Callithrix jacchus: one gene and its partner. The protein of the gene in region 2 binds, or shares a complex with, the protein of the main gene of each other region. Links are inferred from orthologs where the notes say so. Each region holds a gene or a part of one and is shown on either strand. Other genes may lie near its edges.

Evidence for each region.
Region 1: TAF6 (region 2) and TAF12 share a complex: the UniProt entries of both Homo sapiens proteins name them as parts of the TFIID basal transcription factor complex. The link is inferred for Callithrix jacchus from reciprocal best matches to the Homo sapiens genes TAF6 and TAF12.

What each region holds. Positions count from the first base shown.
Region 1 is NC_133508.1:65,289,559-65,293,373, forward strand, and holds part of TAF12 (transcription initiation factor TFIID subunit 12), read right to left. Parts: intron 3,431-3,815; 5' UTR 3,418-3,430; coding exon 3,346-3,417; intron 1,540-3,345; coding exon 1,288-1,539; intron 1-1,287. UniProt on the Homo sapiens protein: The TFIID basal transcription factor complex plays a major role in the initiation of RNA polymerase II (Pol II)-dependent transcription.
Region 2 is NC_133503.1:13,465,745-13,469,659, reverse strand, and holds the start of TAF6 (transcription initiation factor TFIID subunit 6), read right to left. Parts: upstream 2,915-3,915; 5' UTR 2,430-2,914; intron 1-2,429. Other genes in the region: CNPY4 (protein canopy homolog 4), read left to right, coding at 3,381-3,413. UniProt on the Homo sapiens protein: The TFIID basal transcription factor complex plays a major role in the initiation of RNA polymerase II (Pol II)-dependent transcription.

The DNA of each region.
Region 1 (3,815 bases), on a different chromosome or scaffold from region 2:
AACCCCCTTTTCTACCCATCCTGTCCCCTTACTGCCAAGTTACTACTCTATAGAATACACTATTTTTATTACATACTTTTACTTCTTTATTAAATATCTGCAAAGATTGTATATTACCTGAAAGTTCCAATGGAAACTTACTAGTACAGGGTCACTATGTTCTGCCATAACCCTACCTAGACAATATTTTTTTTTTGAGGTGGAATTTCTCTCTTGCTGCCCAGGCCGAAGTGCAATGTTGCGATCTCAGCTCATGGCAACCTCCACCTCCCAGGCTGAAGCAATTTTCCTGCCTCAGCTTCCCAAGTAGCTGGGAATACAGGCATGAGCCACCACGCCCAGGTAATTTTGTATTTTTAGTAGAGATGGAGTTTCACCATGTTGGCCAGGATAGTCTTGATCTTCATGTTGGTTAGAACACACAACCTCAGGTGATCCGCCCGCCTCGGCCTCCCAAAGTGCTGGGATTACAAGCTTGAGCCACCACGCCTCGCTACCTATACAATTTTAAATTCTGTCTTCTATAACAGACTCCATATTCAAAAGAGACTGATCTCCTGATTGTCTGCCCAACCATCCCTCATTAACCTTTGCCAGTTCCTTCACTCATTCCCTTGAAATACTGGGCCAACTCATTCATTTTTTTCTTCACAGCCTACAAAACCCAATTCAAAGAGATTATACTTATTTCTTGTGGCTCTGGAGGCAAAATCAGAATTATGGGTAGAAAGAAGGGAGCAGATTTTAGAATCACTGCAGAAAATTAATAATGGCAGGAATTGGATGAACTAGAAGGTGGAATGGCTAGAACCAAGAGTATTTCCATCATAGGAAAAATGAATTAATTATTTTATTTAACAACTATATAGTTAACATATATATAAAACACCTATCAAAATGAAAGAAAAAACCTACCACAGGCATGGATGGATGGATACATGCATACACACAACAATATACAACACAGTAAAACTTGATAAACACTGTACATGATAATTTGCTAAAGAATGTTAGAGGATCATATATTCAGGGCAAACTGAATCTGTGTCTCCTGAGTTGGGGTCCTCAAATTTGGCCCAAATATAGTCTCTACTTACATTAAAACAAACAAACATGACTAGCCTTAAAAAAAACAAACAAACAAAAAACTTAGAAATCCGTAAGACGGAAAAGACCTTTTCGGCTAAGAGAAAAAGGCAGCATATAAGATGGACATCTCTTAAGTATTACAGGTTGAAATAACAGGTGAGAGGTGGCTACAGGGAAGAAAGAGTAAGAGGATGATACCTGATTGTTTTCAGGGCTAAGACGACCTCCTGTCCCAGGAGTGCCTGGTATCTTTACCACTGTAGTACTATTGGCCATGGAGCCTTGTGGAGGGGTGCTGGCTGGTTCCGGTTTTATGGATGAGAAATTGGAGAGGTTGATTAGGGCTGAGGGGCCAAACTGGTTCATAATCTGCCGAGCTTTGGACTTCAGCTCATAGAGCTTATCGAGATCCTGTTTCTTTTTGGAGCTGTGAGGACCAAGGCCAATTAACTGAAGAAGAAAAGCATAAGAATTAGTTCTAGAAGAACCTGTAATAAAGAATGAGTCTTGAGAGTAAAAAGAGGCCTGGTGCAATGGTTCACAACTGTAATCCCAGCACTTTGGGAGGGCCAGGTGGGCAGATCACTTGAGGCCAGTAGTTCAAGACCAGCCTGGGCAACATAGTGAGACCTCATCTCTACCAAAAAAAAAAAAAAAAAAAAAAGCAAGTAAAATCAGGTCTGTTAGACTTTGAGAGTTCTTCAGTATATATGGAATGGTGACCATTTAATACCTACATGTTAAAAATTGAGGGAATGAAGAATGGTTTTTGCTTTCACCTGACATTTAGAAACCATCTCTTCTCTAAATGTTAAATAAAATTGACCACAAAATTGAAACAAGGAAGAAAGTAAATGAAATAAGGAATCTTACGTACAAAAATAAACTAGGGTTGGGTGCAGTAGCTCATTGTAATCCCAGCATTTTGGGTGCCTGTAGTGGATCACTTGAGTCCAGGAGTTACAGAATAGCCTGGGCAACATAGGGAAGCCCTATCTGCAAAAACTTAGCTGGGGCTGGGCGTGGTGGCTCACGCCTATTATCCCAGCACCTTGGGAGACCAAAGCGGGTGGATTAACTGAGGTCAGGAGTTCGAGATGAGCCTGACCAACATGGTGAAACCCTATCTCTACCAAAAATACAAAAAAATTGGCTGGGCATGGTGGCACACTCCTGTAATCCCTCCCAGCTACTGGGAAGGCTGAGGCAGGAGAATCATTTGAACATGGGAGACAGAGCTTGCAGTAAGCCAAGATCATGCCACTGTATTCCAGCGTGGGCAACAGAATGAGACTCTGTCTCAGCAAACAAACAAACAAACCAAACAAAAAACCATTTAGGGGCCGGGCATGGTGGCTCACACCTATAATCCCAGCACTTTGGGAGGCCCAGGCAGGCAGATCACCTGAGGCTGGGAGTTCAAGACCAGCCTGGCCAACATGAAGAAAACCTGTCTCTACTAAAAATACAAAATTAGCCAGGTATGGTGGCATGTGTAATCCCAGCTACTTGAGAGGCTGAGTCAGGAGAACTGCTTGAACTTGGAAGGCAGAGGGTGCGTTGAACTGAGATTGCACAATTGCACTCCAGCCTAGGCAACAAGAGTGAAACTCCATCTCAAAAAAAAAAAAAATCCCACTTAACTGGACTCACTTAGCATGTAGTCCTAGCTACTCGGGAGGCTAAGGGAGGAGGATTGCCTGAATCCAAGAAGCTGAGGCTGCAATGAGCTGTGATCATACCACCACTGCACTCCAGCCTAGGTGACAGAGTGAGACATTGTCTAAAAATAAAATGAAATAAAATAAAATAAAATAAAAATAAACTAGAATAAGCAAGACATTTTTGAGAACTTTGTAAAAATAGTTAAGTACTACATGCATTATTTTTAAAGTATCAAATAATGTTAAATTCAAATAAGTCATGGCACAATCACATCCTTTAAAAAAATCAGTCACAAAGCTTAACAATACAGACTAGTTCATTTTGGCATTTCAAACATGCTTAAGTTTATGTCGGGGGTATGCCCCAAAAACATAAATTTTAGCTGTTGTTAAAAGTAAACTCCTTTTTGTCAACAGCAATTTTTCTCGGAGTGTTAGCAATCTAAGTACATGCAGACACCCTAGCCTGAAGCAGCTGAGACTCCTGAATCTTAGAGCCATGAGGTTTACTCTGTGGACGTCAGCTTGGGGGTCATGACAATCAGAAGCACATTCACCAAGTTTTGCCCACAGTAGCCTCAAACCTACTTACAGCTATCTGAGTGTCTAGATCTTTAATTACATCAGCAACAGCTGTGAGCCCGGTGAAATGAGAGGCAGCCATTTTCAAAAGCTACCTGTAAATGAACAACTAGCATCAAGCAATATCCTTGCCATGGAATCATTTTAGTTGCATGGCCTGGTACCTCTTTACCAACCAGGATCCAAGCAAACTGGATGTGGAAAAATATATCTCCTTTTCCTTAGTGGAAGCCAAGATAAACATCTCCACCTCTTTTATAAGCAACTTTGAAAATTAATTAATGATGATTATGGCATATATAGACCATCTTCGTTTTTTTTTAGACAGAGTCTCGCTCTGTCACCAGGCTGGAGTACAGTGGCGCGTTCTCAGTTCACTGCAACCTCCACCTCCTGGGATCAAGCAATTCTCCTGCCTCAGCCTCCCAAGTAGCTGGGACTACAGGCACACACCACCAAGCCCAGCTAATTTTTGTATTT
Region 2 (3,915 bases):
AGCGTGGTCAACATAATAAACCCCATCTGAGGCTGGGCACAGTGGCTCATGCCTGTAATCCTAGCACTTTGGGAGGCTAGGAGTTCAAGACCAGCCTGGCCAACATGGTAAAACCTATCGCTACTAAAAATACAAAAATTAGATGGGTATGGTGGCGGACGCCTATAATTGCAGCTACTAGGGAGGTTGAGGCAGGAGAATCACTTGAACCCGAGAGGCAGAGGTTGCAGTGAGCAAAGATCATGTCACTGTACTCCAGCCTGGGTGACAGAGCAAGACTCCTTCTCAAAAAAAAAAAAAAGAAAAAAGAAAAAGAAGATAAAATCCTTTTAATGTCCTACAAAGCCCTTCAAAATTTGCCTTCTCCCATTACATCTCTGACTGCCTTTCCTTCCTGCTTCCACTTTGATCCAGACACATATTCCTTCAGGCTGCCCCTTCAACTTGCCAGGCATACTCTTGTCTAATAGCCTTTACTCCATTCCCTCTGCCTGGAATGTTCTTCCAGAATGCCTGATTGCCTGTCTGCCCTGACCACCCTATTTAACTCTGCACTCTGCCCTCAGAGTGGGAGCAGCCCACTTTTTCTTTTCTTTTTTTGAATGAATGCCACTTTTTCTTTTCTATAGCATTTAACATCTGGGTTGGGTGCAATGGCTCACGCCTGTAATCCCAGCACTTTGAAAGGCCAAGGCGGGTAGATCACAAGGTCAAGAGATTGACACCATCCTGGCCAACATGGTGAAACCCTGTCTCTACTAAAAATATGAAAATTAGCTGGGCGTGGTGGCATGTGCCTATAGTCCCAGCTACTTGGGAGGCTGAGGCAGGAGAATCACTTGAACCCAGGAGGCAGAGGTTGCAGTGAGCCACTGTACTCCAGCCTGGCAACAAAGTGAGACTCCATCTCAAAAAAACAAAAAAACCTTCTAATTCGTTGTATCGTTTCTTATTGTTTATTACCCCCACCACACACCATATAGACAGGGCTCTTTATTTGCTTTTTATTTTTTTGAGATGGAATTCACTCCTGTTGCCTAGGCTGGAGTGCAGTGGTGCGATCTTGGCTCACTGCAACCTCTGCCTTCCGGGTTCAAGCGATTCTCCTGCCTCAGCCTCCCAAGTGGCTGGTATTACAGGCATGTGCCAGCACAGCAGGCTAATTTTCCTATTTTCTTTTTTTTTTGAGACAGAGTCTTGCTCTGTCGCCAGGCGCCAGGTTGGAGTGCAGTGGCGCAATCTCGGCTCACTGCAACCTCTGCCTCGTGGGTTCAAGTGATTCTCCTGCCTCAGCCTCCCGAGTAGCTGGGATTACAGGCATGAGCCACCGTGCTCGGCCTAATTTTTGTATTTTTAGTATAGATGGGGTTTCGCCATGTTCCTCAGGCTGGTCTCGAACTCCTGACCTCTGGTGATCCGCCTGCCTCGGCCTCCCAAAGTGCTGGGATTACAGGCGTGAGCCATCATGCCCAGCTGACAGGGCACTTTATTATGTTCACTAATGTATTCCAGGATCCCAGCCTGGGACATCATAAATATTTGTTAAGTAGATGAATTAGTTGTAAGGTTTAGAGATGTTGGTACTCGGTAACTACTAGTTATTGCTGTTATTAAGAAAATATGTCACAGGTCCAAACTTCGAGCCTACACTGCAGTTAAAAGCAAAGTAGACCAGGTGCAGTGGCTCACGCCTGCAATTTGGGAGGCCGAGGTGGGAAGATCACCAGAGGTCAGGAGTTCAAGACCACCCTGGTCAACGTGGCAAGATCCCATTTTTTTGTAAAATCACAAAAATTAGCAGAACATGGGGGTGGCCACCTGTAGTCCCAGCTACTTGGGAGGCTGAGGTGGGAGAACCATTTGAACCCAGGAGGTAGAGGTTACAGTGAACCGAGATCATGTCACTGCACTCCAGCCTGGGCGCCTGAGGGAGACTCCAGTCTTAAAAAAACAACAAAATGGAGCCAAGCAAGGTAGCTCACTCCAGTAATCCCAGCACTTTGGGAGACAGAGGAAGGTGGATCACTTGAGGATGGGAGTTTGAAACAGCTTGCTTAACATAGTGAGACCCCCATCTCTGCAAAAAATTGAAAAATTAGCCTGGCATGGTGGACCTGTCATCCCAGCTACTTAAGAGGCTGAGGTGGGAGGATCACTTGAGCCTAGGAGTTCCATAGCAGCGTGGGCAACAGACAGAAACCCTGTCTCAAGGAAAAAAAAAAAAAAGTCAAGTGGCACACTGGAGCTGGACATTAGGAAGATTAACATCAATACTGTTCAGGAATAGTACAGGTGGTAGGGTGGGGCTGTGCTGGAAGGATGGGAAGAGGGAGGCCGAAGAAGAAACTGGTTCTTTTCAAACCATCCCTGGTCTCCTCCCCAACTTTTTAAAGTCTTATCTATAGGGAACACAATTATTCGAGACATACTCTGTGCCTGGCGCCGCGTTTATAAGAGGCGGTCGTGTCCCACTTCCCTGGCGAACTCTTACGAATCCTTCAATACCCGGCGGTACCCTCTGTCAGTAAAGGCTCATAAAACACGCTACAGTCACAGGATCTCCTCAGATCAGTGGAGGCGGCAGGAAGGCGTCCCAGGGGAGGATTAACTTGAGCGGGATCCCAGCAGAGAAGCAGGTCGAAAATCCCCGGGGAGCGCGAAAGGAGGCTCAGAGAGCCCACCTCATCTCCTGCAACATCTCTCCAATGCAGACACACACACGGGGTCCCCACGAGCACGGACACACAACCAACCGTCTTGTTTCTAGTCCCCACAAGGGACCTTCAAAGGGTCTCCTCCAGAGTACCACTCAGACCCGCCCCCGCCAGCCGAACGCTGGGAGCAGGAAAACTCTGGCCGCCGCCAAGACGCCGCTCACCCGGCGCTGGGCGCCATCTTGGCCCCGCCCCCTCCTAGGAGCAGGTCCTGGCAGAGCGGAAGTCCAAATCGCTACCGCTTCCCCGTGCCAGAATACGTTCTCTGGACTCACGGAATGAAATTATATTTTAAAATTTTGTTTAAACATCTACATATAAGAAGAATTCCGTCTTGGTTGAATTACTGCAAATTATTCCTTCACTACCCGGCTGCCAGGACCTTGAAGAGGCGCCACAAAACGGAGGCGGAGAAACTCAGAGCAATGAGGCCCCGCCCCCTACCGAGCTGATTCTGCTCGTGCGCCGACCTTGCCAGGCTGGATTTAAGGTTGCCGCCAGCCGCCTGGGCATTTAAAGGACCCACTGCCTTCCCGAAGTTGGTTTGAAAGCAAGCGATGGTTGTTTGTGGATGGCGCTTTGTCATGGGACCTATGTGGTTGGGAATATTGCTTTTCCTTTTGGCCGTGCACGGGGCTTGGGCTGGGAAGCCGAAGGAAGAGGACGATGACACAGAACGTTTGCCCAGCAAATGCGAAGGTATCTGAAGGGGGTAGCCCCTGTTGGCATCGCCCGGCCACACCTCCTTCTTCTAGGCCGGACCTCTTGGACTGTATTGGGTGGGTCACCTGAACTCCTTGAAAGCTTGAGGGAGGTTCTGGTGGAGCTTGGCTGAATTTGAATGGATGGGGTCAAGGAAGCAAACGTGTAGTGCCGCCCCAAAGCTATGGCACTGCACTTCCCAGGAGGCATTCAAAGAGAGCCTGCATTTTTTTGGTTGACTTGGACCCCCCCGCCCCCCCCCAATGGATTGTGGGAATTGTAGTTCAGGGACCATTGGCCCTGGACTGCCAACTTTAGAGCATCTTCAGTGCGTGTTTCCCGTCACCAGACCTTAATCTGCAGAGGCTGCAGGAGCTCTGTGAGGCTCAGGCCTTGTGGACATCTGCTGCCCCACCCTAGCATAGACGCTCCCAAATTACAGGCCCCACGACCCCTGACGGGGTTTGAGGGTGAGTAATTCTGCCCTTCAAGCTCAAAA